Linked DNA regions of Styela clava. The protein of the gene in region 2 purifies or fractionates together with the protein of the main gene of each other region. This does not show direct contact. Links are inferred from orthologs where the notes say so. Each region holds a gene or a part of one and is shown on either strand. Other genes may lie near its edges.

Evidence for each region.
Region 1: the proteins of cyclin-F-like (region 2) and TAR DNA-binding protein 43-like purify together in Homo sapiens (affinity purification with western blotting; 3 studies listed by BioGRID, with this or other methods). This does not show direct contact. The link is inferred for Styela clava from reciprocal best matches to the Homo sapiens genes CCNF and TARDBP.
Region 3: the proteins of cyclin-F-like (region 2) and cell division control protein 6 homolog purify together in Homo sapiens (affinity purification with western blotting; 4 studies listed by BioGRID and IntAct, with this or other methods). This does not show direct contact. The link is inferred for Styela clava from reciprocal best matches to the Homo sapiens genes CCNF and CDC6.
Region 4: the proteins of cyclin-F-like (region 2) and nucleolar and spindle-associated protein 1-B-like purify together in Homo sapiens (affinity purification with mass spectrometry; 3 studies listed by BioGRID, with this or other methods). This does not show direct contact. The link is inferred for Styela clava from reciprocal best matches to the Homo sapiens genes CCNF and NUSAP1.

Annotation. Positions count from the first base shown.
Region 1 is NC_135253.1:15,480,568-15,487,578, forward strand, and holds the start of TAR DNA-binding protein 43-like, read right to left. Parts: upstream 3,003-7,011; 5' UTR 2,871-3,002; coding exon 2,741-2,870; intron 2,165-2,740; coding exon 2,024-2,164; intron 1,538-2,023; coding exon 1,377-1,537; intron 1-1,376. Other genes in the region: short transient receptor potential channel 5-like, read right to left, coding at 5,696-6,005. UniProt on the Homo sapiens protein: RNA-binding protein that is involved in various steps of RNA biogenesis and processing.
Region 2 is NC_135251.1:14,285,124-14,292,629, reverse strand, and holds the start of cyclin-F-like, read left to right. Parts: upstream 1-4,496; 5' UTR 4,497-4,686; coding exon 4,687-6,861; 3' UTR 6,862-7,506. Other genes in the region: uncharacterized protein LOC120335464, read left to right, coding at 1-45, 443-490, 1,134-1,273, 1,378-1,686, 2,651-2,715. UniProt on the Homo sapiens protein: Substrate recognition component of a SCF (SKP1-CUL1-F-box protein) E3 ubiquitin-protein ligase complex which mediates the ubiquitination and subsequent proteasomal degradation of target proteins.
Region 3 is NC_135250.1:4,966,348-4,974,196, reverse strand, and holds the start of cell division control protein 6 homolog, read left to right. Parts: upstream 1-4,843; 5' UTR 4,844-4,960; coding exon 4,961-5,165; intron 5,166-5,630; coding exon 5,631-6,099; intron 6,100-6,261; coding exon 6,262-6,599; intron 6,600-7,137; coding exon 7,138-7,337; intron 7,338-7,849. UniProt on the Homo sapiens protein: Involved in the initiation of DNA replication. Also participates in checkpoint controls that ensure DNA replication is completed before mitosis is initiated.
Region 4 is NC_135251.1:26,346,278-26,353,582, forward strand, and holds the start of nucleolar and spindle-associated protein 1-B-like, read left to right. Parts: upstream 1-4,280; 5' UTR 4,281-4,402; coding exon 4,403-4,486; intron 4,487-4,658; coding exon 4,659-4,766; intron 4,767-5,050; coding exon 5,051-5,131; intron 5,132-5,289; coding exon 5,290-5,382; intron 5,383-6,062; coding exon 6,063-6,233; intron 6,234-6,632; coding exon 6,633-6,759; intron 6,760-6,969; coding exon 6,970-7,102; intron 7,103-7,177; coding exon 7,178-7,304; intron 7,305-7,305. UniProt on the Homo sapiens protein: Microtubule-associated protein with the capacity to bundle and stabilize microtubules. May associate with chromosomes and promote the organization of mitotic spindle microtubules around them.

The DNA.
Region 1 (7,011 bases), on a different chromosome or scaffold from region 2:
ATTAAGGTTTTATTGACATAATTATCAAAATATAACTGAATCACAAAAAATTATACACCATACCTCATTCATAATGATCTGATTGTTGATCATTTCACCAGACATTCAATAAGCTTCAGTCGATAACAACTACAATGATCAAGTCCAAACAACTCTTCAATCAATTGTATAACTGACATCTCACTTCATATTTTACAACACAGCAATCCCAGGACAATCGATACCATTTATCATGTGATACCCCAGACATACACCCAAAATTTGATGTGAAAATAGGCTTTGGTATTCTATGATAAATGCTATTCAAAAAAATCAGGTGCAGTCAAGATCCCAGGCAATCCCATAAAACTCTCAAGTTGGAGAATGAAAATTTTGTTATGAGAAAGATGGCTCAAATTTCTACAAACAACTTTTGAATGATCATCATACAGGGCACACTTCTGGTTGCTTCAGATATAGGCTACACTAACTGGCATCCGTTCTATATTTTACTCATAAATTTCATTGTTTGTTATCACAACATGAATGCTGAAAAAGTCTTGTGATGATCAATCATATCCAGGGATGGGCATTTTCGTGATGATTTCAGATACAAACGAATATTTTCTTGAATATTCGGAACTTGGAAGATATATGAATGTATGTGACTTTTTATTGTGATGGGTCCTCCAAACACATAAATTACTGAAAACATGAAATCCATCACTCAGACATTTTGCTGAAAGTTCACACACAATGAGAAAAATGTTTCATCAATATCTCACAAAAAAGAAAAGAGTCATATGTCCAAATTACATCATAAAACTATAGCTTCAAGACAAAAACTGAGGAATCCACCTCGACCTTTGTGTGGCCAAATAAAATAAAAAAGATGACGGGGATACAACATTTTCTGCTGAACCGATTCAAATAATGTTCAACTCTAATCATATCTTCAGTCAATTTAGCAAATCAAATTGCCTCATATACTGTTATATCAATCCAGCAAAAACATATTTCTGACTCTTCCATACAAACTAACCTACAAACAATGTCTTCATCACACAATGCCCAGTTAGAATAAAGCAATTTACCAAAATGTTAAAAATACTTCAGAAATGCAACTATATCCTAGTTACAAAACAAAAAAGACACACATTTTCTGTAAAAAAATATTCTGAAAAAAAATACTGCAAATATTTCATTAGGACTCATAATAGCACTCATATACCGAAACAAAATAATCAATCGCAAAATATAAACAGATAATCTGCAGTACAAAAACATCATACAAATAGAAATATACAAGCATCAGCAGTACCTATATGAAATATACTAATATATGTACATAGCACATCATACACTCAAAACAAAAATTTTACTGAAAAAATACCCACTTGTGCCAAAACTAATTCACCAAATTGTCCAAAATATTGTTTCAAATCGTTGACAGATGTTTCCCAAGGTAATCCCATAACAATTAGGTCCGAGCATTTTTGTGCCGGCCTTTTACTGCGGATTCCTTGACTTTCAGTGTCATCCATCTTTCGTTTATTATCTGCCAAATTGAAGGAAATTTTCACAAAAATTATTGTGTATTGGAAAATTGAACAAGATGTCTAAAAAGTGAAACCAACATGGCATTGGTAATTGAAATAAGAGCAAAGGGGTGTATTTTGTGCAATAAATCAGGTCTTGCCAACCAGAATAGTATAGTATTGATTGAACATGCAAACAACTGAAAATTGAAACTATATCAATATAACATAAAACAGTATACTACCAACTTTTCCTATATCATATTAAATGGCTTGCATAATTGTATTTCTAGCAATGTTCTAGTGACAATATACATGCTACGGGCTGTCAAATAGGACCAAAAAAAGGTAAGCAATGAAAATATTAATTATCTTCTTGAACCCCATGGCTAGCAGTTCAATGCATGATTCAGTAAGTAGTAATTTTAACAGAAAAATTTATAGCACAAGTTAGTTATCAGTCTTGGTACTACACAGAATACTGAATTCCTTTTCTATTAATTTACCTTTTGGATAAACAACAATATAAAGTTGTGATCCCCACGAACCATCTGGTGGATGAAATGTACCTTCAACCAATCGCACTCCCCTCATTGTTTGAGTGTCAGCATTTCTATACTTGAGACCGCATGCCCCAGCAAATTGGGCTGAAAAATAGAGAAAAACAGCAAGTTAAATAAAAAGAGACAAATTTGGAAAACACTGTTGTATCGATGGTTTTGGATGGTGTAGTCAGATGGGAGTTAGGATTGACATGTGAAAAAATTATTATGATACACCCACTAGAAGTACAGAAGTAGACTAGATTAGGCACAAAACTACACGAGACCCGAGTTGAGTTTAGTGTTACCTGTACGGTACCGTACCGGTACCGTGATTTCATTAATGTAATTGAGTAATTACAGAATTAAGGCTGACAGGCTTAAAAGTTAGTCACTTCAGCACTTTGTGCACATATTATATGTTTTTATTTTTTTTCATCTTCCGTCTACAACATGAAAATACTGAACACAAAATAAAAAACAAAGACAAGGGCAACGAAAAGATCGGGAAAATGAGCAAAACCTAGAGAAAAGTTTAAAGCGAACGCTGCAAGCGTTTGTGCCCATTTATCGGTCAGTGATTTCCTACTGAATTGAGTACCGTACTTAACAAAATATTTATCCAGTAGCTACTGCTTTATCTTTTTAAATAACGGCATTACGGGTATTTTTATCTTTTACCTGTAACGCTGGACAATAGCATGGTGCCATCTGATTCTCCTGGAATTTCTATAGCCTCCTCATTTTCGTCATCAGCTATTCGTATATATATTTCCTGCTTTATGTTGTAATTCCTTTGTGAGACAGACATGCTTGTTAAGTATTTCGCGGCCTCGAACACTGCGAGATTCTTAAGGCAAAACAGTACACTTTCACTAATTCCAGAACTCGCGTTTCTCTGTCTCTGAAGAGTCTCAATTTCAACAATTCCACTGAAAAGAGACGAAAAACTCGTCGGCGCCATGTGGTGTCAGTATTGAGCATTCCTATTACCTGCTAATTTTTTGGGTGATCGGATGGAACCTTTCCCCGAGCATCGTATTCCTTGTTTACTTCGTGACATTGGCCAATCAGCAAAATGCAAAAAGTGACGTAACAATGCTCCCTTTTCGCATCCGCTCAGACCCCTTTCTCACTCAGACCGATTTCCAAGCGTGGTCGTAAACATTACCTCGTTTTCGCGTTTTTGAACTCTATTCGTTAGTTTTCAGTTGTGTTTCGGAAACTTAAATATAAATCAGATATTTCAATGATCACTCTCTTTTCCTAGAAGTTTTAATTTTTTAATTGCAGTAATTAAAAATCAGTGTGGAAATAGCTGTGATAGACTAGGCTAAAATTATTTACCTGTACTTTTAAAAAACAGATTGTTGTATGCGATCAATCATAATGATGGTTCAAAACACATACCTCATTTTACAGGCGCCAACTCACAAAAGTACTCTTAAAATAGCCTGGAAATTTTGCAATGGTAAAGTATAAGAAGAATTTTTTGGGGGTCAAAGGTCGGGGAAAGGTCCATTGAGAAATATACCGTAGGTTTTTACTCAGTGGACGCTACCTTCTGGCTACTACTATAAATAATCTCAATGATTGCTATCAAAATTATTTTGACCATATTTGTAATTGTGACTTGCTAACTGACCGCTTTTATTTTTACCGGCGTAATATACGCATAGAAAATAGGAAGGTGTTTAAAATATGATAAATCATTTTAAAATTTCTTGACATTGATTAAAAGACTTGAACAGATACATTCGAAATATTCATATTTGGTACAACAACAACAGTTTATATCATTCAAACTTCATTCTAAGTGACCATTACTTGTCAACCATTACTGTCAGTCGTCTTAACTTTTTGTGCAACAGCTGCCAAATGCATTTTTAACATTACCAACAACGACATCACAACATCGACAACTTTTTTTGTATACCTTGCTTGGTATGCAATCGCAATTTTTTTGTGGATTCAGAAGAAAGTAGAATTACAGCGGAAATTTGGGAGCAGGAGATTGCCAGGTTAGTCCATCCACTGGCGTCAGTAACCATAGTTCCCGAAAAAGCGCATAAGGTTGACGAACTTTTTACAAACACTCTCTGCTAATACCGTTACCCAACCACTTTCAGCATTGGTAGGATAATTCTAATACTGAAAATGGTTGTTTTTTGATAGGGTCAACGATCATACGTCATGAAATGAAATGTAAGATAAAACAAAAAAACCTTCTCGTGCCGTCCAAGATAGTTTGGTCATTATTTACGTGATATTCATTATCCTACATTCGCAAAACCTAAAACCTAGCCTTTTTTTCATCAACAACTACCATTGGAAACACATTTCTACAACACAACTAATGTATGTTTTCTTGGACGTAATCTCGACAATATGAAACTTCAGTAGATATTTTTATTAAAAGTGCAATCTCAAAGAAAAACAACAAAATCATGCTGGTTAACATAGGCGACAGAACCCATAAAATATCAAGGAAACAAAGATACAGTATAAGATGGCAAAGTAAATCCTGAGACGTTGAATAGCGCAGAAAATTTGTTGACAAAACGATCGTTCTGATCTCAGTCAAAAAGTGCAAAATTATGAAAGCAACGCAGGGTCTGCTACATAAGGTTTTACCGTCATTGATTGTTTATTTTGTATACATAATATGTGGCTACTGTGGACAAGGAAAACATTTAGTAAAAATAGGCTTGTAAGTTATAATAAAGCAAACCAATAGCTTTTAGCTAGATTGCAATCCCACGAAAATGTTAACATTTTTCAGAAACAGGCCATGTTTAGAGTATGCAACGGACCTTGGAGATGGCAAGACTTAAAATTTCATTTGTTGACTGGTGTATTTGACAATAGCTCGTAGCTACAAAGAAAATGGGAGAAAGGCAATATACTCAAGTATAAATCGGTACTCCCGTAGCATGTGAAGCAAGATGGCGGACACCGGTACGTCGTATGTGTACCAGGTTAGGGTTAGACCATAATTTCCGGTACAAATACTACGGAAGTCACTTGGCTAGTCCCCAAACTCGTAATAGAACTAAAATAAGGAAAATTGGAATAAAATTATGGCCTGGTTCACATACTACGTTCCGGTGTCCGCCATCTTGGTTCACATACTTCGGGAGTACCCCAAAAATTAATAAACCCAATTTATTTATAAATATACTCCACTCATTTATATGACAAGAAGTGAAAAAAAACAGTGCAACAAAGATAGAAATCAATTACAGATAAGTTCATTTTTACAAATGCTAACGAAATACAAAAATATTATTATACACTGGAAATCTGATAATAGGAAAACATGGAATTCCTAATATAGTAAATAAGCTGTCCAGTGAGAATAAATTCCATTTTGGAATTAGGACTAAGATTAGAGCCAATATATTTATATACTCTTTTCGTTCGAAATTTATCTTTTTGCCCGTTACTTTTCTTTTAGTGCTTGTACGTGACGGGCGGTCAAACGCTTCGTCTCGCAAATTTGCTTTACTCCTTTGTTGAAAGCTGTGGTGTCAACATGTCCCGACTCCCACCGTGATGTGTATTCAGTCTCATCATCATGACCTTCAAAAGTACATGATTAGTGGAAATAGGCGCAAATAGAATGGTTGTACCGCCTCATATATTTGCTGTTTGTTGATCATCTGGATGAACTCCATTCGCTTTTAGGTATCTTCTGACGCATTTCCTAAGGGTGACGTCATAGCGAGAATACTTTTCTTCTGTCGCTGCACTACCAGGTGACCAATGCTCTTTGTATCCTTCTCCACTTGCACGAGACTCTGGACTGCCATTTTTCTGTAGCATTCCTGCTTTGTGATGCGCCTTAGCGTCGTTTCGTCTTCCGTATTGATTCATTGGTATATTCGCTTGATATGCCCGTTCAGGATGTCTGCTAACATCTTCTGTACTTCTGCACAGAATACACCTAAGAAATTGCAAAAATGCCGACATAAATAAAAGTTTGGGACATAATGGTACATCAAAAACTCACCATGGCATCATTTTGTGGAGTGATGTTGTATGTATGTTATTGACACACTCTCAGTTTTACTTTTCATACCCCTTTCAACACAGTTATTTGTTGCAAATTTGTGGACTTTGATGGCGGAGCAACCCTTGTGCACCACCTGTTGGAGGGATGCAGGGACTCGAGATGTACCGATACCATTTTTGTCGTCGATACCGATCCGATATCAGCTAAAAACGCCGATACCGATATCAATGCGTCGATATTTGGAAAGGCCGATATTGCCGATACCGATATTCCGATTCTATGTAATTATTACTTAAGTGTGTAGGGCAGACGAGTTAAAACAATAGTCTTCGAGCATCATTAATAGTGCACATAATTTTGGATCAAATAAGAGAAATATCATATATATATATATATATATATAGAAATTGATGTTTGGGATCCAAATGCGTTGATTGATTCAAAGCATTGAGCACTGGCACTAGTAATCTTGGTGTCCAATTAGAAAACTAATAGAATTTCGCTATACTGTTGGTGGTAAAATGCATAAATGTTTAGCCTGCTTATCGTATATGAAACTGATACATTGAGTTACGTGCGCGGGATTTTGTGCCAATATAACGTTGTATTTTATATTTTACACATCGGAAAATCCGGGGGGGACGTACATGGCTCATAGTTCACGATCTATCCAAGCAAAAAATAATTTAAACATCAGTATTCTAACCTATTTTTTTAAAACACCTTGGATAATATGGAGAAGCTGAATATATATCGGAAATATCGGTCTAAATTTAGCCGATACCGAAAAATTGGCAGATATTGTCGATTCCGATACCCGATACATCGGTACATCTCTAGTAGGGACATCACTGCAACCATTAATAAGTAATCATATAATATTATCATTTTTTTTTTTCAATGACAGAAACTTTTTCTTTCAGATATTTCCTCAAAA
Region 2 (7,506 bases):
AATTAAAGGCCAAAACTATGAAATAAAATCGGAATGGTCGTACAGGTATTTAGCTTTTGACGATTTTTGTACGATATGCCCTAGGTCCCACAGGACTCCTAATTTTATGCTAGGTTAAGAGTTCAATATCGATATATGTTATTTAGGAATATTAATTTTGAGTCATAGCGTCTACTCACTCCTTGAGTGGTGCTAAGACGCAACATTGTCACATTTTGGCAAAATGAGAGCGACGTAGTGCTGGTTCATTCCCTTGTTTCTAATCAACGAATGCAACCGAATATCAGCAAGAGTAAGCATGTATATATCAAGTTTTTATTGCAATAATTCTTTTTGTATGTCGCCACCTTGTATTCATATAGTTAGTGTGTCATTCAAGTTTTCCTAGCGAGAAAGTCAAGATATCTTTGTAGTAGATTGTTTCTTTTTTTTTTTTTTTTAGTTTCTTTGTTGTTACTTCGACGCCTACTTCTAAAGATAAGCCAACGGGGTATGTAAATGTACATATATTTCAAATTGGTTAATGCTTAGTTGTATCAGTTATCGTGTTGAGGGACATTTTTATGAACTTTGCCATACCTGTGTTTTCTGTCACTGAAGCTGCTGCGCATGTTAAGTAACGGAATCTTTAGATGCTACCTTTGTGTAATAGATTTATGCGAATACTTTGTTTATCGGATTGCCTTTTTTAATCGAAACTGCCCAAATCATTTGATAGATTGACCAGTCATGTCCTGTATTATATATATCACAAAGGTTTTTTCTCCCCAAGGAGCTGTTTCAAACCTCCCAAACATACTTTGATTGAATTTTGATTTCGTTTCACAAATGCTCTGGAATTTTTATTTCTTTTAGCGGTGTCGTGACTCACTTGTCCCCCTTTTCGCACATGTTGCTGTATTTGTTTCACTGTTCTGACTTAAGGTAGATAGTCTATATATTGTGGGGAGAATGGGTAAAGTATGTATATGAGAAATTTTCATATGTTCCCGGTTAAGATAGATAGAATGCCTTGGTACAAGGTTAGATTACTCATGTGAATCGAGATTCATACAATTGGGCCAAGTGCGTGACATGTGTGACAATTGTGGCAACTGAGGGACACGACATTTTGAGACAATCCTTTTCTTTAGTTTTATAGATGCTATCGCGAGTGTGGGTTCGTCCAGCATTGTCCAGGTTCTAAGTCGAAGTGCATCGTGTGAAATGTCGAGTTCGTTACTGATAGAGGCAGAAGAAAATCCCGGAAGTTCGCCAGATATAACTGTCACTGGTGAGTTGTGCAGGTTCAGAATTAGTCATTTTAAATATAAATAGTAAATGATTTTATGGAATAGATATCGTTACATAAGTGCAAAATTTTGTAATTTTCCCAAGGTCCGAGTTCTGGATGTAGCAGTGCTGGTAACGTGATAGCTGGAATTCTCGGTTTTCTGTTTTTTGTTGTGGTCGGAGCCTCAGGGTTTTATGTTGCAAAATCAAAGAAGTCTAAGGAAGATGGCGAAAAAGATGAAGAAGAGGAGGAGGAAAAAGAGGAAGGCGAAGAGGAAAAAGAAGATGAAGACAAAGAAACGCAAGAAAACGATGATACCAGTAGGAAACCAAAGAAAAAGAAACATAAAGATAAAGAGCAGGAAAGAAATAAAGAACAATCTGAAGATAAGAAAGAGAAAGATGAATCACATGGTTAGTGTTAAATAAGTTGGGTAGACAATGCCGAACCGGAAACGTCTCGATGCTTCTAAATAATTGTAGAATATTGTTAGATATTAGTAGCTGCCTCATAGGGCCTTGTTCGAAATGCGTTAATAACCGTCGTAAAAAATTGGAAGAAATGTTCGCTTAATTTTATTAAAATACAAACTGATACCAATTGAACAGTGCTCGTCAAACTGTGGGCCGCCGAGCATTTTCTAGTGAGCCTTCAGTAAATTTTGATTATGGGCAATGATACACGAAAAATTTCCATAAATCCAACATTGCATACATACCGTATATATTTAATTAAATTTTCCTTAACAAGTTTATTACGTGGTTGAATCTTAAGTTTCCAACGAAATCTTGACCGAGGCTAACAAGGCTGTCACGAACGAGGTGGTTGTTGGGCCTTGAAACGATTTTCATTTCACTATTTGGGCCGCGCTTAAGAACTTCGCCGACCACTGCAATAAAGCAAATGATTGCTCAGATTCTTATTCGGATTGAAATATTCCGTTTATTTCACCGACAGGAAAACCATAGAATTGATGCGTAGGTCCGACGTATATGAACGATTGGTTCACAAATAAGATACGGTAGCATTAAACTATAAGATACATCGTTGGCCGTGGCCAAGAGAGCGCACCGATTTGATTTGAAATACCACGAAGAGATCACGTGGACTTAGTAGTTTTGGGGTCAAAGAAATGAAATGAACCTCATTCCACTATCCAGCAAACACATTCATATATAACGAGTTGCGTATTATACACTATACTAATGAGCGCATAAGACAAAATTGAGCGCCTACATCAGGTCTTTACTCTTTGGTTGAAAAAAAAAAATAAACACTGTGAGCTATTATTAGTTATAGTCATACGGAGTTTTGCTATGTTAGGCAGAATAAATAGAACCGTGTTGAATTTAAAAATACTTCAAATTATTTTTACAGGTAAATCGCATCGCCACCATGGACATAAACGACATAGAAAAAGAAAGGAACCCGATAATGCTTGATATTTTCAGCAAAAAATATGTCAATGTATTTTCGATCACTCATATCTTTAATGGTGTTGTGACTGCCTGAATTGGCGTCAGCCATTAGCTTGAATCCGAACTGTGTTGGCTCGATAAAGGATATTTTTCGCTCATTTTTGAACTAATTTTTCAGCATACCTGCTAACTTTTGCTATCAATTGGTATTCCGTGGGACTTATTCTCATTCAATGCCTTTGCGTCACTGGATCCTTATGCATATAATGCAAGGATGCTATATCAAGAATGAAGATAACTATTCTAAGTCAGACTTGCTGCACACTGATGCAAATGTATTTACAGCTGAAATATGTATGTGTAAGTCTGACATCGGTCTGAAGAAACGTCACAGAAATATATTTGTGTCGGTGTTTATTTTTTAAAAAGCAATATTATAAGTAACATATGCCTAAAAAACACCATTTGTTGATATTATTATTTAAATACCGCTATTTATATATATTTATATGTGGGTTCAAAACTTTTTGGGGAGACAAATATGAAGACTAAATATGAGAAAATATTTGAAAAATATACATATAATTCGGTAATACCATTGGAAAACTCTTTTTTCAAATAAAAGCGTTGGTTGGAATTATCTCCAATATAAAGAGGTACAAATTTATTGCAACCTACGGTCTTTATTTGCACTATTTTCGGTTGTATTTAGACGGGGAAAAGTTCAGAGAGTATTACCAGATATCACGACAGTGAGACATATGGTGCATGTGATAATTTTCACGCATATGTCGCGCGATTATTTTTTTCAACCTGTTGTGCTAATTTATTGATTAGTTCTCAATTACACGCACGCGTTATAATTGTTACCCCGATATTTGGAAGATTATTGCTTAATATTATCACAAGTTCATCGCTGTTGGAAACTTCTCATCAAGGTAATTGTGAAGCATTTTCAAAATTCAACAAATTTATCTCCAATATTTGGCTTTTTTGATTGATTTTCAAGCTAGCTACATTATATTGACCCTTGACTAGCGGAAAATTTTGGTAGGCTACTGCGTGAAAATGAAGGCTACTGCGCTGAATGAAGGTCAACTGCACTGCTTTTATTGAGTTATAGTATAGATAAGGTGATTGTATTTCATAAAGTATAGCCAAGCGAATTGTATTCATAACAATACATCGTCGTTCTTAATTTCCATCATAAAATATTGAACCGTATGGATGATCGCATGCTCAGACAAATATCAGCTGGAATCGGAATTCGCGACATATCACACTGGGCGACAGCTATCAAACTGTTTTACAACCCTGTGAAGTACTTTTGTTTTGCACCGCAAGTTCCGAGTTCGCACATTACCTTCGCGTGTCGTGCACCTTCGAAGTTCCCAAATCAGACAATTTGTTAGCACCCACGCGACTGATAATCGCCAGTGTTTTTAAATGAACGCGTTCTCAAAAATCCAGGCACTTTGTTCCGAACAAGTTTATGGGAATAATGCATGATTGCCACCAGGTAAACTCATGTTAATAATAAATGAAGCACAACATTTGCTAACACCGGTTGTGCTTCATTTATTATCAACAAGTTTATGAGAATGTTGAGATAATGTCGGTAACTCCCGTTTCATAGAAAGGTCGGTTAGATCAAAAATACTTGAAAGATTTTTAGAAACTGACCAATGCCGGAGGGCTATCGACTTGATAAAGAAGGCGACGAAGAATTCAACCGCTAGAAATAAATTAATTGCTTGTCGTCATGCATCATTGATTATCTAGCTTTTGAACGTTTTCTTTTGTTTACAGTTCGCTTTATGAGCGTCGTCATCCACAATCTTTCGCCATCTGTTGGTTATGCTGTTGTAGGCGCTAGGTATTAGGGTTTTAGTCAAATTCTGTGATAGGTTAGTCAGTGTCTAATTGTTACCAAGAAAATATTCATCTACCAAGCTAAGGGGACCAAGTTCTGGAGTTGAAAAAAGGCACTTAGACATGGAATTTACTTGCAAACTTGATCATCAAAAGAATAGAAATGGAATAATGGATTTACCGAAAGATGTTCAAGTTATGATTCTACAAAAACTTCCTTATAAGGATCTTATTCAGCTGCTGAAAGTTTCGAAGTATTTTGAAAATCTCATCAAAAATGAAGCACCTGGTCTTCTACAAAATATCACATTACCGGATATTTTTTTGAATGCTGAAAATAGCAAAGCACTCGCTTGGCTTGCATCAAAAGGTAACCTTGAAGCCAGTATTAAACTTGGATTTGCACATTTATATTTTGATGGATTAGTTGATTCCGCCCGTGTTCGTCAACAAAACAGTTTAATAGCAGCTAAATATTTTTGTGAAATGGAGCAAAATAGCCGACTCAAATTGCCAATAACTTGGGTCTTCATTCGTCCACCGTGGTCTGCTGCTTCTGTTTGCCGAAAAGCTTTTGTTTTCAAACAATTATCAAAAGCAGTTGATGATGGTAATAATCATCCTAATTTGTTATATTGCATTGGGAAAGTATTGCAGTTATTTGATGATGATTTAGAGAAGCGTCAATCTGCAAAACAATGGTTTCAACGTGCAGCTGATGTCGGTCTTCCTAATGCAATGCATGAATTATGGTGCATGGAACTTGAAGATATTGAAGGTTTTTCTTCCATAGAAAGCTTCGTTTCATCAAGAAGTCCTGGACTTCGATTATCATTGATTCGAAAATTAAGGAAAATTGCCGCTGCTGGATATAAGCCTGCACAAATGCAGTTATGTCGATTATATGCAATGGGAAATTATGGGGGATTGCCAATGGAGGTTGCACTAGATTACACAAAAAATATAATTCAAAAATCTTCATTAAAGCAAATTAATCAGATACCAAAGTATCAAGAAAATGTAACCGGTAGTATGAGATACATCCTTGTTGACTGGTTAATTGAAGTAGCAACAATGAAAGATTTCGGCAGTGAAATGTTACATACAACTGTCAGATGTGTTGATAGATATTTGTTATTACGACAAGTATCAAGATCACGTCTTCAACTTTTAGGAATAGCTTGCATGGTAATCTGCACCAGATACATGGAAAGAGATGTCTTGACAATTCGAGAAGCAGTTTGGCTGACTGATTCAACGTATAAATATAACGAGCTCGTGCAAATGATTGAAGACGTTGTTGCAACGTTAAATGGAAATATTAAAGAAATGACAATGTATGATTATCTATCAATATTCTTAAATTCAAATACTCTTGACAGAAAAAGTCAGGATATTGCAAGATTCATTGCAGATGCTAGTTTACTTCATGTTGACATTGTGAGTCTCCCTCCTGGAATTTCTGCTGCTGCTGCAGTATTTCTTGCAAATTTTACTGCAAACCCCAGCAATCCATGGCCTTCAAAACTATTAAAACTATCTGGATATACTTTAGGAGAATTATTTCCAACCGCAGTTGAAATTCATGAGAAATGTTTGGATAAAGAACCACCGACTGATTTTAGAAACAGAAAACTTGACGCAGTAGAAGAACGATATAGTCAATGTCGGTATGGCCCAATCAAAAGAACGCAACTTGTCACACACGAACAACTTATTTCTTATATGCAAATTACTTGTGAATATGATTCACCGGAATGTATCAACACTCCATGTTGCAGTCATTCTGTAACTATTTCCTCAGAAGTAAAATTAAAAGAAGATCATATAGATTCAACTCCAGAATCTGAAAAATTGGACTATTTTGATTTAGTGATGTCTACAGAAGAAGATGAAATTGAATCTTCAGAAGAGTCCGATCTTGAGACAGACACTCCACCGACGTTATCATCAGCGTATTTGATGAGAACAGATACAAAAACAAGGAAAAGAATTACAGCTAATCGTCTTGCTGAATCGAAATCTGCAGAAAATTTGCCAGCAACCTCTAGTTCTAAAAGCAAAATCACTAAATTGTTACCCAAAAAGCGAAGTATGGATAAATCTAAGCCTTGCATGACAGTTAATGATAAAGAAAATAGGTTATCAGTACCCTGTGCCAATAAAATTTCACCATATAATGCAAATGAAGCTGTTTATAAAGAGAAATCTGCTAAAATAAATGGTATAAAAGAAAGAACTAATAATGTGAAATTGTCTAAATCAAGGAGTTCTAGATCACCTCGAATGAGAATGTAATTTCAATTGAAAGGTTTCTTGAAATTGTCCATTAAATATGAACTTCAATATGAATTGGCGTTTGTTTTTCTGTAATATCTGTATTTGAAGTGAATTATCATATTCATCAAACTGTCCAGAGTTATCGCGCAGTCAGACCAGAAATATAGCAATATGAAAGGATGTCTAAATATTAAATTCAATAGAATTAAAATCTCAATACACACAAATATGAATAGCCTATACATTTCTGTTTCTATGGACCTTTTTAATATTTGAATTATATCTAAACAACATGCCAATTGCCAATTTATATATTGCTATATTTTTAATGCATTTAATATGTTGGCGTGAGATTTGAGCCATTTTTTTGTGCTCATCATTTTGTACTTCCCGTTGTTTTATTCAACTTCTGTGTTATTTTTTTCTTCGAATGAAATTTTTCAATCTCAAAATGAAATGTTTTCTCCTTCATACCTATTATTATTGTTAGTTTCTTTTTTTTCTTCTTTCATTAAACAGTCATTCTTTACATTGTAGTGTCTTTTGTATGTAATGAATGTGCATTTGTTTGCCAATTATATCATAAGAACATTTATGATAGTTACTAAGCTTTCTTTTTGCAATGTATACGGTATGTTTTTTTGCAACATTGTTTATAATTGG
Region 3 (7,849 bases), on a different chromosome or scaffold from region 2:
ATTATGATATGACATAATAGGGGTGTGTATCTTGTTAATTTTGATAATACTTAGCAACTCTCACCATACATAAAGCAGAACAAGCAATTTTTAATATTTTATTCAGAGTTTTCCTGCAAAGAGGTTCAAAATACCAGAAACCTGGTTTTGTGAAGTATTCTCGATTTAATTTATTAATGGACCTCCCAGGACGCTATCATAAGCATGCTAACATATGAGTTCTAACTACAGAGCCCCAACACACAATTATAAAATGATTTTATATCAGATGGTTAATGTTCCCAGAGTAGTGAAAACTAGCAATTATCTTTTCATAATAAATTCTCAGTTGCAACTCAATCGCTAATCCCCATTCGTGAACAGATAATCCAGATTATTGTTTTCTTTCATTTCTGTAACTAGTATAAAGATAACATAGCTAGCTGCTTGTTCACAGATATTAAAACATTAAGAGTAAAAACTCGTCTCATTCAATCAGATGCTCTTTCATTTCACTACCACTCTTACTGTGTGCAATCACAACACTGTTTTAATTGGAAGAAATAATAATTATTTTGCTGCTTTATTGTTGAATATATTTTTCATACTTCATCATTAATACAAATCAGATAATTGGTACATCTGTGTGTCTTTATCTACTCAGTTGGAGATATGACCCTGATGCCTATATTGATTTTTCCAAAAGTTGGGAAATTGGCGCAATGAAAATTCTCTGCCTTAGACAAAAAAATAATGAGTAGTCAGTCAGTGGTTAGTTGTCAAGTGTGTTCCTAGCGTTTAGTTGTGCCAGCTTTCGAAAATTTAGGTCATGCGTTTAGGGCAGGGTCTTGTTTCAATTTTCTTCTGAAAAATAACACTAGGGCTTATTTTCGAGGGATGGCTTATATTTTAATTTATCAAAAACAAAATTACAAAGTGAAGAAATACGAGATTTTCAAAGATACAAATTCAAGAATCACTTTTTAAATTCAACCTAGGTCTTATTTTCAGGGAAACACGGTATTAGATTTCTTTAAGAGTTTTGTCCTCGATAATTAGCATTGGTTTTTCGCGTCTGTCTTCACCCAGGAATGTGATATTTTTAGTTTATTCTTACATTCTGGTTCATTTCTACCACGATGGAAAAATAATCTTCTGCTTACTGGTATCATTCACCATTTAAATCCGTACCTCTGCTACGATTTTTTTAGAACCCCCGGAGCCAGACAATGTATTTATCTATCTGATTTTTCAATCTTATCACTACTTGACAACGAGAGACCGAGCAAATGGCGTCTTAATTCATATTTCAGATGATTCCATATTACTGGCGTGCCGCCGTATCGGATACCCCGAAAAACAATTGAGAAACATGAATTCAAATGCCGGTTATGGATTAAAAATGGATGTGATAATCAAATGTATACAATGGCAGGTGCAAGGGGCCAGATTAGGGCTAGAGTGATAAGAAGTGAAAAGGGGGCATGGCGCGTTAATCGCTCCGTGAAAGCGTGATCGTTTAATCCGTTATCGTTATCCACGAAGTTCTTAATTATAATTTCCTTTTAAGATGTTTGCAGGGAAAATCGGTTAGGATGAGACGAATGAATGGGAATGGAATATAATCTTATTCTTCATAGCCTCAGTAGCTTCGCAGAGATCAGACCCCAAAGATTTATATTATATTGTCGCATCAATGTCATTGAAGATTTTCGCGCTAAGAAAAGAGGCAACGGCATTGGATTGAATATTCTATTTTAGACATGAAATGCTTCTAATTGAAGGAAATATGATTTTCAAACCGTGCCAATAACCGAAACACTGAGTATCTTTCAAGATTTTAAGATTGATGTATTTTATTGTCGAAGAAAACCTTTGGACGGCTAAAATTTCAGAAAAGCACGAAAATAACCCGTTTAATAATGATTTTTGTAAATCAACTTAATTTCTCGCAAAATCCTTTCAAAACGCTTTCATAAAGCTAACAAAGTGACTTGAACGTCAACGCAGACGACACGACGATGTAAATGAGAGAAGCAGCTGGGCAAGTTAATTATGATGTCATCGATCAGCTGATTTTGTCCCGCTTCTCGATGAAGCATGCGGCGGGAAAAACGAAACGAGAGCGGGAACAACTAACGCTCTCTCGTGTTTCTAAAGCTTTTTACTTTTTTTTTTAACTTTGCAATCATTAGTAGGTTTGTGATTTAGGCGTTAGCTCATCTTTTCTATCGCCGTATTTTGGTCTTAGAGCAGTGTTAGCATCTGATATAATTTTACTTCTGTTTGGGTTTTACTGATGTTTAAATTAGGATTCATATTTTTGATATAATGCTCTCTCAATTTTTATATTCGTCATTGCGTATACCAGTGCTATCATTACTGCATTATCTTCCGATCCTCTAATTGCAGAATTGGGAGTTTGTCACTTTCGCCTGTAGATTATGCATGTTACCGTGTCTTGTAACGTTTAACATATCTCGGTGTTTTGTAGCGTTTTCTATTCCCTGTTAATAATCTTCATTGACATTATTTATTATTGCAATCATTACTGTGTTAGTCTGTTGGTAAGGCTGTAAGGAGACACTTTCTGACTTTGGCCAGTTGGCGATTGCATTACTACGGTAGCCTAGATCAGTGATTCCCAAAGTGGGCGATATCGCCCCCCAGTGGGCGAAAACGATACACAGGGGGCGAAAAAGTCTAAGGGGGCGATAGGGGGGCGATTTCGCGAAACCTGTTTCATGTTCGGCGCACTTCATTCTGTACTCTGTGTGCATTGGCAGGCTTGAATCATGTGGGCGATATTCACACGCGAATGGATTTCTGGTCTCGTCTTCGCAGTAAGGTAAGGTAGTTTGCGTATCCCAGTGGTCGGCAAAATACGGCCGGAGTAAAATAATCTGGCCCTGGACGATTCACTGAATGGACCTTTCCCCGACCTTTGACTGCGGAAAATTCTTCCCATACTTTACCATTTTAAAAGTTTCGGGGCTTATTTTAAGAGTGGTTTCGCGAGTTGTTGCCTTTAAAATGGGGTATTTGTTTCAAACTATCATTCTAATACACACCATTCAACAATCTGTTTTTTAAAAGTACCGATAAAGAATTTTAGCCTAGTCTATCACAGCTATTTCTACACTAATTTTTGATTGCTGTATTTAAACTGAAACTCATGGAAAGGCAAAGTAATCATTGACTTATTTGTAAAAACTAACGAATATAGGCTAATTCAAAAATGCGAAAATGAGGTAGTGTTCACGACCACGCCTGAAAATCTGTCTGAGTGAGAGTGTCTGAGCGCCTGAGCGGATGCGAAAGGGGGAATTGTTCCCTTTTTTGCATCTTGCTGATTGGCCAATGTCACGAAGTAAACAAGGAAGTCTATGCCCGGAGAAAAATATCCAAACGGCGGTTGTGACGATAAAATTTTTTTATTTATAATATACGCTCGAGGAGTAAATTACTTTTTTTTACGTAACAGAATTTATCGTGAGACACGTTTAGACTAAATTATACTATATCCTAACAATCTAGTGAACAGCCACTCGTTTAACGAGCCTACAATGTAATTATAATTAGACAAATGGAAACACGCAGAAAAGTTGATGCCGAGTGCAGGGGTTCAATAGCGCAGTAAATATTCGAATATATTGCGAAGCAATAAGAAAATAAAATTCATATTCTAATCGAGAGATTCATCACTGCTTAATTTTTGTAAGAATGTAATTTCTTAGAGAGAAAATATTTATCAAAATTTCACAAATCATGCGAAAATATTCACTTCGATGTTTGGAAGTATATATTTGTGCAAATCATTATTTTCGAAAATGAACATTACAAAGAACAAGCAAAGAAGTGGGTTTGGTGGTGCCCATTTAGAAAATGTTTCTATCTTGGCGTCGTAAAGTTATCCAGCGTGATGCAGCAACGAGACAGTGTCACATTAAATATCATTGTAATATTTTTTTAATAAGACGACTGAGTTGAGTTCACGAATTGTCGCAGTTTTTGCGTGCTGTTCCGTTTTTAACTTCCAAAAAATATATGCGACCCGCAAAAGACTAGCAACCCTGAATTTTGTCCTGCGAGCGACATAAAATTTGCCGACCCCTGGGCCGTAGCCGATAGTCAGTCACGGCTTCTTCCACATCCGAGTCAATGAATCAAAAACAAATGGCTGGTTAATTGTGGAATGGTGATCGGTCTGGAGGCCGTGATAGGATGAGGAATCAGGGATGAATTTTTCCGAAATATTTTGGTGCAGGTCATCAGGCTGTACGAATGAATGAGATGTACGAAAATCATTATTATAAGTTTGGGAAAATTAACTTTGTTTTTATTATTTTAATGTGAAATGGGGTGAATTTAGAAAGTGAAATGCTATAAGGCAAGAGTACACGGCGGTTTTTGAGGTGGTAGAACCCTGGATTCTTTCATTTTCGATCTATTTTATGGTGAAAAAGGGGTTTTCAGCCGTGCTACTATTGCTATTAAAACAACGAAATCACCTTTCCATCAGTAAACGAGGTAATTTTAGATATAATAAATAACTCGCTGAAGAACACCAAGCTCATCAATTTCATTAAAAAACACCATAAACTATTATTTGTCTTCTTATTTGGTCTGTAATATATTCGTTTCCGACTTTATATTTTTTTGTAGTGCAGGGGGGCGATGAAGTTGCATATACTACTTTAGGGGGGCGATGGTCAAAAAAGTTTGGGAACCACTGGCCTAGATCATTCTGTCATTAGATACTGTAAAGACTGAAAGAGGTGGCAGTTTGGATTTGATTGACAGGTTGAACTGTAATTTTATTCCAGGTTTATTTTAGGACTAGTAAAATTGTTTTATTGTCAAAATTTTTATTCTTCAGTCTTTTTAGATTTTACTAAAGTTCAATTTTAAGTTCAAAATTTTGGGTTCATTTTATGAGTTATTATCTTGCACCAATTCTATATCAAAACACAACTGCACTATGGCTACGCAAGGTATCATACCATTTCCGTGTCGAAAACCAAGATCTTTGGCATCCAAGCTGAATTCTACCTCTCCGTATAAATCACCAAAAAATCAGGAGAATGTTAGAAGAACATTGATGTCTATTTCCAACATTCAAAATGACAATAATCCATGCATCCGATCCATAATGCCACAACCACGATCACCAAGAAAAAGATTGGGTTGGCTCTATTTCTGTATTTACTAGTTTTATTAATTTAGTGCTAAATATTGTTTGTAAAATCATTTGGTCATATAGTATTAACCTAGAATTTCTAAACTAGAAATTGAATCTCTAAATAATGAAATAAGCATAACACTATAAACACTGCGAAAGTAATGGAGAATTTTCCGTGTTTTATTGGTCCTGCTTGCCTGTTGAATAAAAACTTTGCATCTCAGCTATGTATTGTTATATTGTGTAAAGTTTCATAGTGTTATTTCAAAGATTTGTTGGTTTGAAGGTTCAAATCTAGAATATATTCAGTTTTGTATATCCTATTCAAATTATCAGACTGTTATTTCTGTAGTTATTCACACATGTGCTGATCAGTTGACTGTAAAATGAGTCAAGATGAACGTAGCTAAGTTGTCTCCAACCATAATTAGCTTGTGATTAATTTTTTTAGTTTGTCCCACTTTTACAGGCGATTCAACAAACACAACGGAAGGTTGGACAAATGATGATTTTTTGAATGAACTATTCAAACTCTCACCCTGCTCTCCAGTGAAACAAAGAAAAGAAATTGTTGATAAAACGCAACAAACATCGAAAACTCCGACCAAATCAGTTTCGAGATCTTGTGATTTTCAATCTCCCACAAGAGCGATTCTTTCTCCTATACGAGCATTATCACTGAATTCACCATGTAGAAAAACTCAGATCAACGACAAAAATGTGAAATCTAAAACGGCCAAAGTTTTGCAATTAAAACTTGCAAGAATAGAGGCACCTGGGGATGATCAGAAGTTAGCGCCTGATGAAACGCCGACCAAACCTACTCGAAATCGTAAAACTGTGTCAATCAGCGAGAAAAAAAGCAGAATGGCAAAAATTGATAACACTTATGCTACGTCAACAGTTTCGATTAGGAGGGTTACACGTTCAGCAAAAAAGTAAGGAATATAAGGCATTTGTATAGTTAATGATCTGTCAAAATATCCATCGTATATTGAAATGTATGGTTGAAGCAACAGTTTCTCTGAGAGACCAATTTCTTATTATTTAAGAATTAGCAAATTTCCATAAATGAGTTTAAATTTTGTCTTTTATTTCAGAATCCACAAATTGAAACTATTCGAAGAAGATGATTTTAAAGAAAATGAAGATCCGAATGAACTTTCACCTTCGCCTAAAAAGCGACAAAAGCCAGCTTCCGAGAGCAGTAAATACCAAAGAGTCTGCAGGACTTTGCTTCCACCTTCACCTGAAAAACAAAAAGCGAAACGAGCTTTGTCACCTGTGCCGTTGTCACCGAAAAAATTGACTGAACAGATCGTCGCGAAAGCTGTTTCACCAAAAACGAGTCGCAGTCTTGAAAATGCACTGGAAACTCCACCAAAGTTAGCAAGTCCCTCGCGCTCAAGACGAATGTTGGAAATGCATAGACCTGACGGTATATATATTATTTATTTAAATATTCCCTAATATTTTCGGTACCTTCATTCTTTCATACTTTTCTCGTTGTATTGACATGAATCAATCAGTCATTCAATTAGTATTTACTACTGTGCAATAACTCAGCTATAATAAGGTATGTAGCTCCTGGCCCTTTAGTGTTTGCCCGTAAGGAGGTTCAAAGATCTATCACCTTTTTTTCTAATTGAATATGCGAGACATTGCATTGAGCATGAACAAAGATAATGTACAAATTAAAAAACAAGGTCCACTCAATGTGCAATTTGTGTCAAGCTGTAAAGATACAAAATATTATATTTTTATTAAGAATCTTACTGCTTGTTGCAGACTTGTTGCGAGTGCAAATACAAAAACACCCCAGGAAAAAAATTTGGATAACTGCCTTTTCTTGATATATGAACCATAGAAATGAATCATTTTTTTAATAAGAAAGTTTCAATGTTACAAATTCATAATTAAAAAAGTATTTCTTCTTGAATTTTGAGTCTATTTTCTTATGTGTGTCTTCCTTTCAGGTCTTATTTACCAACACACAAAGCGTGCCTTACATTCATCAGTGCCAGATGTTTTAGTTGGTCGAGAAGAGGAAATCCAGAAAATCTCTCAATTCATATCATATGGTGTGACAAATCAGAAGTCTGGTAGTCTTTATATATCTGGTGCTCCCGGAACGGGGAAAAGTGCTTGCTTGATGAAAGTTCTTAACAATGAGAAGGTTGGCAGATGTATGTTTATTTGCCTCAAAATGTAACAGTATCTGTATAATAATCAAACAGTGTAAAAGACTGGATACAGATCAAGACCTTACTGGCCTAAGACACAGATGTGCGACATAACCCCTAAACAGATGGTATTTACATTCGTTCAATTTGTGATGGATGTTTGCTTTATTTTATTGCAATATTCATCCTAACCAGAATTGAATTTTTTGATTTGATACATTGTCTGATTGCTTTATCCATTTTTTATTAAAACTATAGTAATTGTACCGAAACTGGTCATTCAATTTCGAAGTAGAATTTTAATTTTTGCTGTATTGAGCATTGACTTATGATATGAGCAAATTTGTAATTAACTCAAAATTATATAATTTTCATTCTCTTATTCGATAATTACTGTCATGCCCTGATTTTTTAAAACTAGTTCACACTACACAGAGGGAGGAAGCTACATTTCTCCCTTTTCATTACAATTTCCTGTCTTTTGTTATTGTAATGAACTTAACTC
Region 4 (7,305 bases), about 12 Mb from region 2:
CACAAACAGCTGGATTGAAAAAGGGAGAAAAAAGGAAGAGAAAGACTCGAAAAATATAATTTTTCATTAATGACTATTAAATATGTAGACCTTGATAGAGTCGGCCCTTGACACAATTCGTTAATATGCCTAAGCAATAAACTTATTTTAATTGCATCAAGACATATACTAGCTTTTTTTCTCAGATATGCATGGCTATATTAAAAATGTAGTAGATGACATAGCCATTTTAGTAGGGACATAGCGGAAATAGCCATTTTAGTAGGGACATAGCCATTTTAGTAGGAAAATATCGGAGTCGCAATTTTAGATGGGACATAGCCATTTTAGTACGGACATAGTCATTTTAGTAGGAAAATATTGGAGTCGCAATTTTAGATGGGACATAGCCATTTTAGTGGGACATAGCCGTTTTAGTAGGAACATAGCGGACATAGTCATTTTAGTAGGAACATAGCGGACATAGTCAGAAAATATCGGAGTCGCAATTTTAGATGGGACATAGCCATTTTAGTAGGGATATAGCGGACATAGCCATTTTAGTAGGGACATAGTCATTTTAGTAGGAAAATATCGGAGTCGCAGTTTCAGATGGGACATAGCCATTTTAGTAGGGACATAGCCATTTTAGTAGAGACATAGCCATTTTAGTAGGGACATAGTCATTTTATTAGAAAAATATCGGAGTCGCAATTTTAGATGGGACATAGCCATTTTAGTAGGGACATAGCGGACATAGTCATTTTAGTAGGGACATAGTCATTTTAGTAGGAAAATATCGGAGTCGCAATTTTAGATGGGACATAGCCATTTTAGTAGGAAAATATCGGAGTCGCAATTTTAGATGGGACATAGCCATTTTAGTAGGGACATAGCGGACATAGCCATTTTAGTAGGGACATAGTCATTTTAGTAGGAAAATATCGGAGTCGCAATTTTAGATGGGACATAGCCATTTTAGTAGGGACATAGCCATTTTAGTAGGGACATAGCGGACATAGTCATTTTAGTAGGAAAATATCGGAGTCGCAATTTTAGATGGGACATAGCCATTTTAGTAGGGAAATAGCGGACATAGTCATTTTAGTAGGAAAATATCGGAGTCGCAATTTTAGATGGGACATAGCCATTTTAGTAGGGACATAGCGGACATAGTCATTTTAGTAGGGACATAGTCATTTTAGTAGGAAAATATCGGAGTCGCAATTTTAGATGGGACATAGCCATTTTAGTAGGGATATAGCGGACATAGCCATTTTAGTAAGGACATAGCGGACATAGTCATTTTAGTAGGAAAATATCGGAGTCGCAATTTTAGATGGGACATAGCCATTTTAGTAGGGACATAGCCGTTTTAGTGGGAAAATATCGGAGTCGCAATTTTAGATGGGACATAGCCATTTTAGTAGGGACATAGCCGTTTTAGTAGGAACATAGCGGACATAGTCATTTTAGTAGGAAAATATCGGAGTCGCAATTTTAGATGGGACATAGCCATTTTAGTAGGGATATAGCGGACATAGCCATTTTAGTAGGGACATAGTCATTTTAGTAGGGACATAGCGGACATAGTCATTTTAGTAGGAAAATATCGGAGTCGCAATTTTAGATGGGACATAGCCATTTTAGTAGGGACATAGCCATTTTAGTAGGGACATAGCGGACATAGTCATTTTAGTAGGAAAATATCGGAGTCGCAATTCTAGATGGGACATAGCCATTTTAGTAGGGACATAGCCATTTTAGTAGGGACATAGCGGACATATGGGACATAGCCATTTTATAACTACCCGGTACCGGTACCGTATACAAATTTTGCAGAGTTTTTCGAATATCTTCAGTCGTTTTTGATATCATAGATTTCAAATGTTTAAGCCAGTTTATATATAATCTGAATTAATTTTAGCAACACCGCACGGAAAATATCACAATTCTCATGATCATTAGAGCGTAACCATTGCACTAACCAATCATTCATCCGCGCGCTGTGCTTTGAATGCTTGTGGCTTTGTTGATATTTGGCTTTGGGGGTCGGGAGGTTTTGCTGGTTCCGTTAATTCTGCCATTGCAGCATTAGGATAGGATAGGATTTACATATTTATCCCGGGGGAGAGGAAAGCCGATAAGACGGCTTATCCATATGGCGAACCACGGCCTCTCGTCCGGTTACCATTCCAAGTCGGGTATGGGATTAGATTTACTGTATTGTTTGTTTTCGGAAGCATGGACTTGGTGGTGGAGGAAGCCGTAACCGACCAGCGGTTACGTGAACCACCCAACGACGGCGAGGAGTCCAGCAATCCTCTCGCACATAACCATCTCTGTCTGGGATTCGAACCTGCGAACCCACGCAGAGTAGTTAGAGGTGCGGTGGCGATCGTATTCCTAACGCTTAGCCCGTTGAGCCACACCGCCGCGCATTGCAAATGCAACACGAATTTTACTACATAACTTGAGCAATTGGAACACAGATTTATCATGGAATGTAAAGATAAATAGGAATGTAACTTGAATCCTATCAATGTCAGCATTTTGCATCTGATACCGTCAGACCGTACGGGCGTACGGTACAGCCGTAGACTAGTGCTGTAGTGATCCCGGTAAGTTAGATTGGTTAATAATATTAACTACAGAACTATATTAATAATACTGTAGTATAGGGCAGTAGGGGTGGATTTGCATATTAAAATAGAGTAAAAGCAATAACACGGCTCAATCATATGATATGGTGAAACACGGCCTGACGGCCTCTCATCTCCGATTTCAGGATTACCAATCCTGCAATCCATGTCCGGTACCAGTAGGTAGGTAGCCTAGTTAGGGTTTGCTTTTAAATGGGAAATTTTGACTATATTGGATAAAATGAATTATAAGAACATTAACAACTACGGTATGTTAATGCAGTAATGCCCATTCAAAAGTAAAAATGTGCGGAGTCATTTAAACACAAAACTCCAAATACATAAAAACCAAAGTGCATGAGAATAGTCACCACATTTAAAGACATCAATTTTAGTAATGAATAGAAACCCCGGGTCTCGTGTAGTTTCATACCTAACGTACTTCTAGTGGGCGTAGCATTAGCATATTATTTTATTATGTCACTGTGACATCGTAGTGACATAATTTTTGGATGGCGTAATCAGGTGGGGGTTAGGATTAACATATGCAAAAATTGTTATGATACGCTCACTAGAAGTACTTTAGGTACGAAACTACACTAGACCCCAAACCCCCCTATACGAGACAGTACGGACCTTCATATCGGCAAACCGACACTAGAAATAAACTAAAAGGAAGCGCAATCTAAAAACATCACCATTTAGTACGGCTCCTCATACAGCTCCTCATTGTCTCATTTCAGAGAATCCCATTTTGGCGATGAACAAACACTTCTTCTTTAAGTTGCACAAAAAACTACAAAGAAGTGCAATCTAAAAACATCATCATTGAATTCCTCAGGAAAAAATAATCCAAGTCACAAACGGAAAAATATTCTACCGTGGCATTCGTGAATTTAAAGCAAAAAGCGGCAATTTTGGTCACATGACTGCTGCAATTAATTTATATCATTATTGAGACAAACATGATGCGATATGACGTATCTGCTGTTGTACAGACACCCATCATTTGTGAGACACATGGAGTGTCTATTTTATCATTGAAGCAAATGACAGGACATTCTTGGAATTTAGAAAGTGTGCTGTACTGCCATTGAATTCCTTAGAAAAAATAATCCGATTCACTGAAGAACAGAAGGATAAATTATTTTACTGTTGCATTTGAGAGTTTTAAGCAAATAACCCCAATTTTATCGTGTGATGGGCCATGCACGCTATGATTGACTTAAATTATTATTGAGACAAGCATGGCGCGATCTAACGCATATGCTGTCACGCCAGACTCCGTCGTTTCAGAGACAAATAGAGTGTTATTTAACCAAATGTCAGTGTATTGCGGCCCCATTATAACAGAGAATAGTTTAGTGTACAAGACCTTGTTTGCCTATGTCACAATTGTTTGACTCGACAGAACACAGAGGTCTGATATTGATCGCCAATTTATTCAAAAAACTTGCAAAATAGGTTATGATAAGTTTTGCTTTGGCAAAAAAATTACCAACATTGGCTATTCAGGAGTATACTACAGGAAATGGATCTGTATAAAAAAAGTCTAAACTTAAATTTGCATGTATGAGAGCGAATAAACACTATTGTGTTTCATTTATTTAAACCACAGTTGGATTATTATACAAAAGAAATAGAATCAATATAATGTTTCTGTAAGAAATTTATTCACTTGTTTTTAGCTTACTTATTGTAGGCATATTTTTGAGTTTATTAAACACTGTCGTTTTTGGATTCTGGACGATTTATCAATCATCCTTCAAAGTCCAGTAGTCATGTTGTCCTCAGATTTAAAGTCAATGAAAAGAGCTGAATTACAGAAGCTGGCTAAAAAACATGGAATAAAAGCAAATTTGAAGGTAATTTGTTTATTCTTATCGCTTGTTATCATAATCCAAATGATAATTTATTTTATAGTATCTGTGATAAGCCCTTAAAATGAAAAACAATCAAAATTTATTCATGATAATTGGTGATTTCAATTTTAGATTATATTTTTATACCAATAATTACTTTTTTTTTATTTTGCAGACTGATGGAATTATTGCAGCGTTGCAGTCAGTATTCGATGCAGAAAAAGAAAATGCAAAAACACCTGATACTTCACTGGTAGCACAATCAAAAACACCAGTTAATGTGGTATAACATTATGACAAAGTTAATTTGAGTTCGTTTTCGTGTCATGTTCAATGTATTTCTTTTTAGCATTAGCCTTTATGGTCTTAATGACATTATCAAATTGTGTTTATATTAATAATAGGATGGGACTGATATTTATCTTGCATTCTCTGCAGGATTATTTGCAAAATATAAAGATTTATAAGATATTTCCATCTCTCTAATATATCTTAATGAAGTGCATTACTGTATTACCATAACCTATGAGTATTGTTGTGTTATATTTTATTATTTTTCTATTTTAGTTTCCAACTCCGCCATTAGACGAAGCAGAAGATTTGTTCTCAGTCAAACCACCATGGAATAATAGCGACTTAATGTCTTTTGTGAGAACAGTTTATTATATTTTTCTTTCATCAGAAAAACACGATATTGTGTAATTATTAATCATAATTTGGTTCTATTTTTCTAGGTTATCTAGGTTTTTATATTTAATTTTCGAATCAAATGCAACTGCAACTATACAGTCTATGTGTCTTCACAGGACTCTACCCCAGAACAAGATAGCAAGAATGACAAATCTTTGGAAGCAATTCCTGAAACTGGAACAAGAACAAGAAGTTCATCTGGGAAGAGGGTGAGATTACTTGTTTGTATTATTTTCTTTTTCAATCACAGTTGTACCCTTAAATGCCAACTATCCAATAAACTTTTCCAAGGATGTCAAAAACGAATCAAATATTCAGATCATTCCGAATGTTTTGGCAAGGAACTGTGCTGTATGACTATTCATCAGTAAACAAGGGATATTCATATAGTCTTTTATAGAAATTAGGGCGCTCCAGAAGTGTGTGTACCAACATGGGGGTAACTAATTTTGTTCGCCTACTTTACATCAAGTTGTGTAAAGAGACGGAAGCTAGGCTATGGGCACGGGCAATATTCACTTTACTAACACAGACAGTCTCCGAACTTGTAATAGAACCAAAATAACGAAAAACTGAATAAAATTATTGTAACTTAACTGGTACACACACTACGGGTGTGTCGAAATTAGAGCTATCTTTTGAAATTTTAGACTGTTTTTGCATAATTTACCATATTTTTACAAGTTTTTAAGATTGAAATTTATCGGAGAAGAAAGATCTTGATTGCCTGGAAGGGGACATTTTTATTCCAAACCTCATTTTTCAAATTTCAGTTTACTTTGTGTAATAAATAACCAATATAAAATTAGAATAACAGCTAATATTTTGCTCTCTCTGAATATGATTTTGGAGCTTCCAAGATATATTTTATGTATTCTTTTTGTCCTAGACCCCCAAAATAGCTAATGAATCGAAAGATTTTGCAACAAAGACATACAGCGTTGAAAGGGTTAAAACAAAATCAAGAACCGGTCGATCAAACAAAGTTGCTCCCACTTCTGGCAAGAAAACAGCTAAAGTTTTGAAGCGTCGATCTTCAAATGCAGTTGAAACCATACAGGTTAGGTCGTTTTCTGGAACAAGGTATTGACACTTGACAGTCATCGACCTATCATGCAATTGTTTATGAAGTGTTTTACATTTGTTAACCAGCAAGTATCAGGTTTTGCATTACCTACTACTAAATTTATTACCCATCAATGTGTTATTTTGAAAATAGGATGGGAATAAGATATGCTGACTTGTCATATGATATAATTATAAACACACTTTTTATTAAAAAAAATTTAATTAGAACTAATTTTTGCAATAAAAATGTATTCGAAATTTCAATGTTTCCCCGTTTGTTTCAAAACCTGTGGAATACTAAATATGACGTTAGAGTATTTTATCGAATATAGTTCTTTTTATTGACTGATGTACATTCTAGTTTTAAACCATTTTATATATAATCCAAAAGGCTAAAAAACCGAGGAAGAGTGGATCAAATACTGACCAAGAATCTGTAGATGAAAAAAGTGAAGCAATCGACATTGATCTTCAGAATGAAATTATGAATGAAATAAGAAAAAAAATTGATGCAACAGGTATGCATGAGCCTTCCTCTCACATCTCGACTCATTCCACATGTGCATAACAAGGTGTTATATTATATGCATATAGTAGCCTACTATGGAAAAAGGCCATTAAAATTTTATATGGCTCTTTGCTGTTTTTTATAACATATTATCCCCATTATTTTGAGAACTTCCATGCCGCACCGACACAAAGTTCTGTTTTTTTGTTCAATTAACCAGATGAAAAAAGTAAATATGGTGGCAGTGATTCTTTTGCAAGTAGAATTCCAAGATTTACTGCATCAGGTGTTACTATCGGAACAAGCAAGCCTATTACACCTGGAAATAAAGACTGGAATAAACTACACAATAAGTAGGTGTCATATCTGAATTTATATATATTGTACGCAATCTAATATCAATTCTTGAATTTAAAATTCTATTTTAGAAAATTCGATAAACTGGAATCCATTGATGATTATGAGCGAAGAAAAAAAGTGCGAGCAGAAAGATTACTCGGTTCCAACAAGAAAAACAATGCAAGTCTGAGCAAACTGGCACAACCAGTGAAAAGGG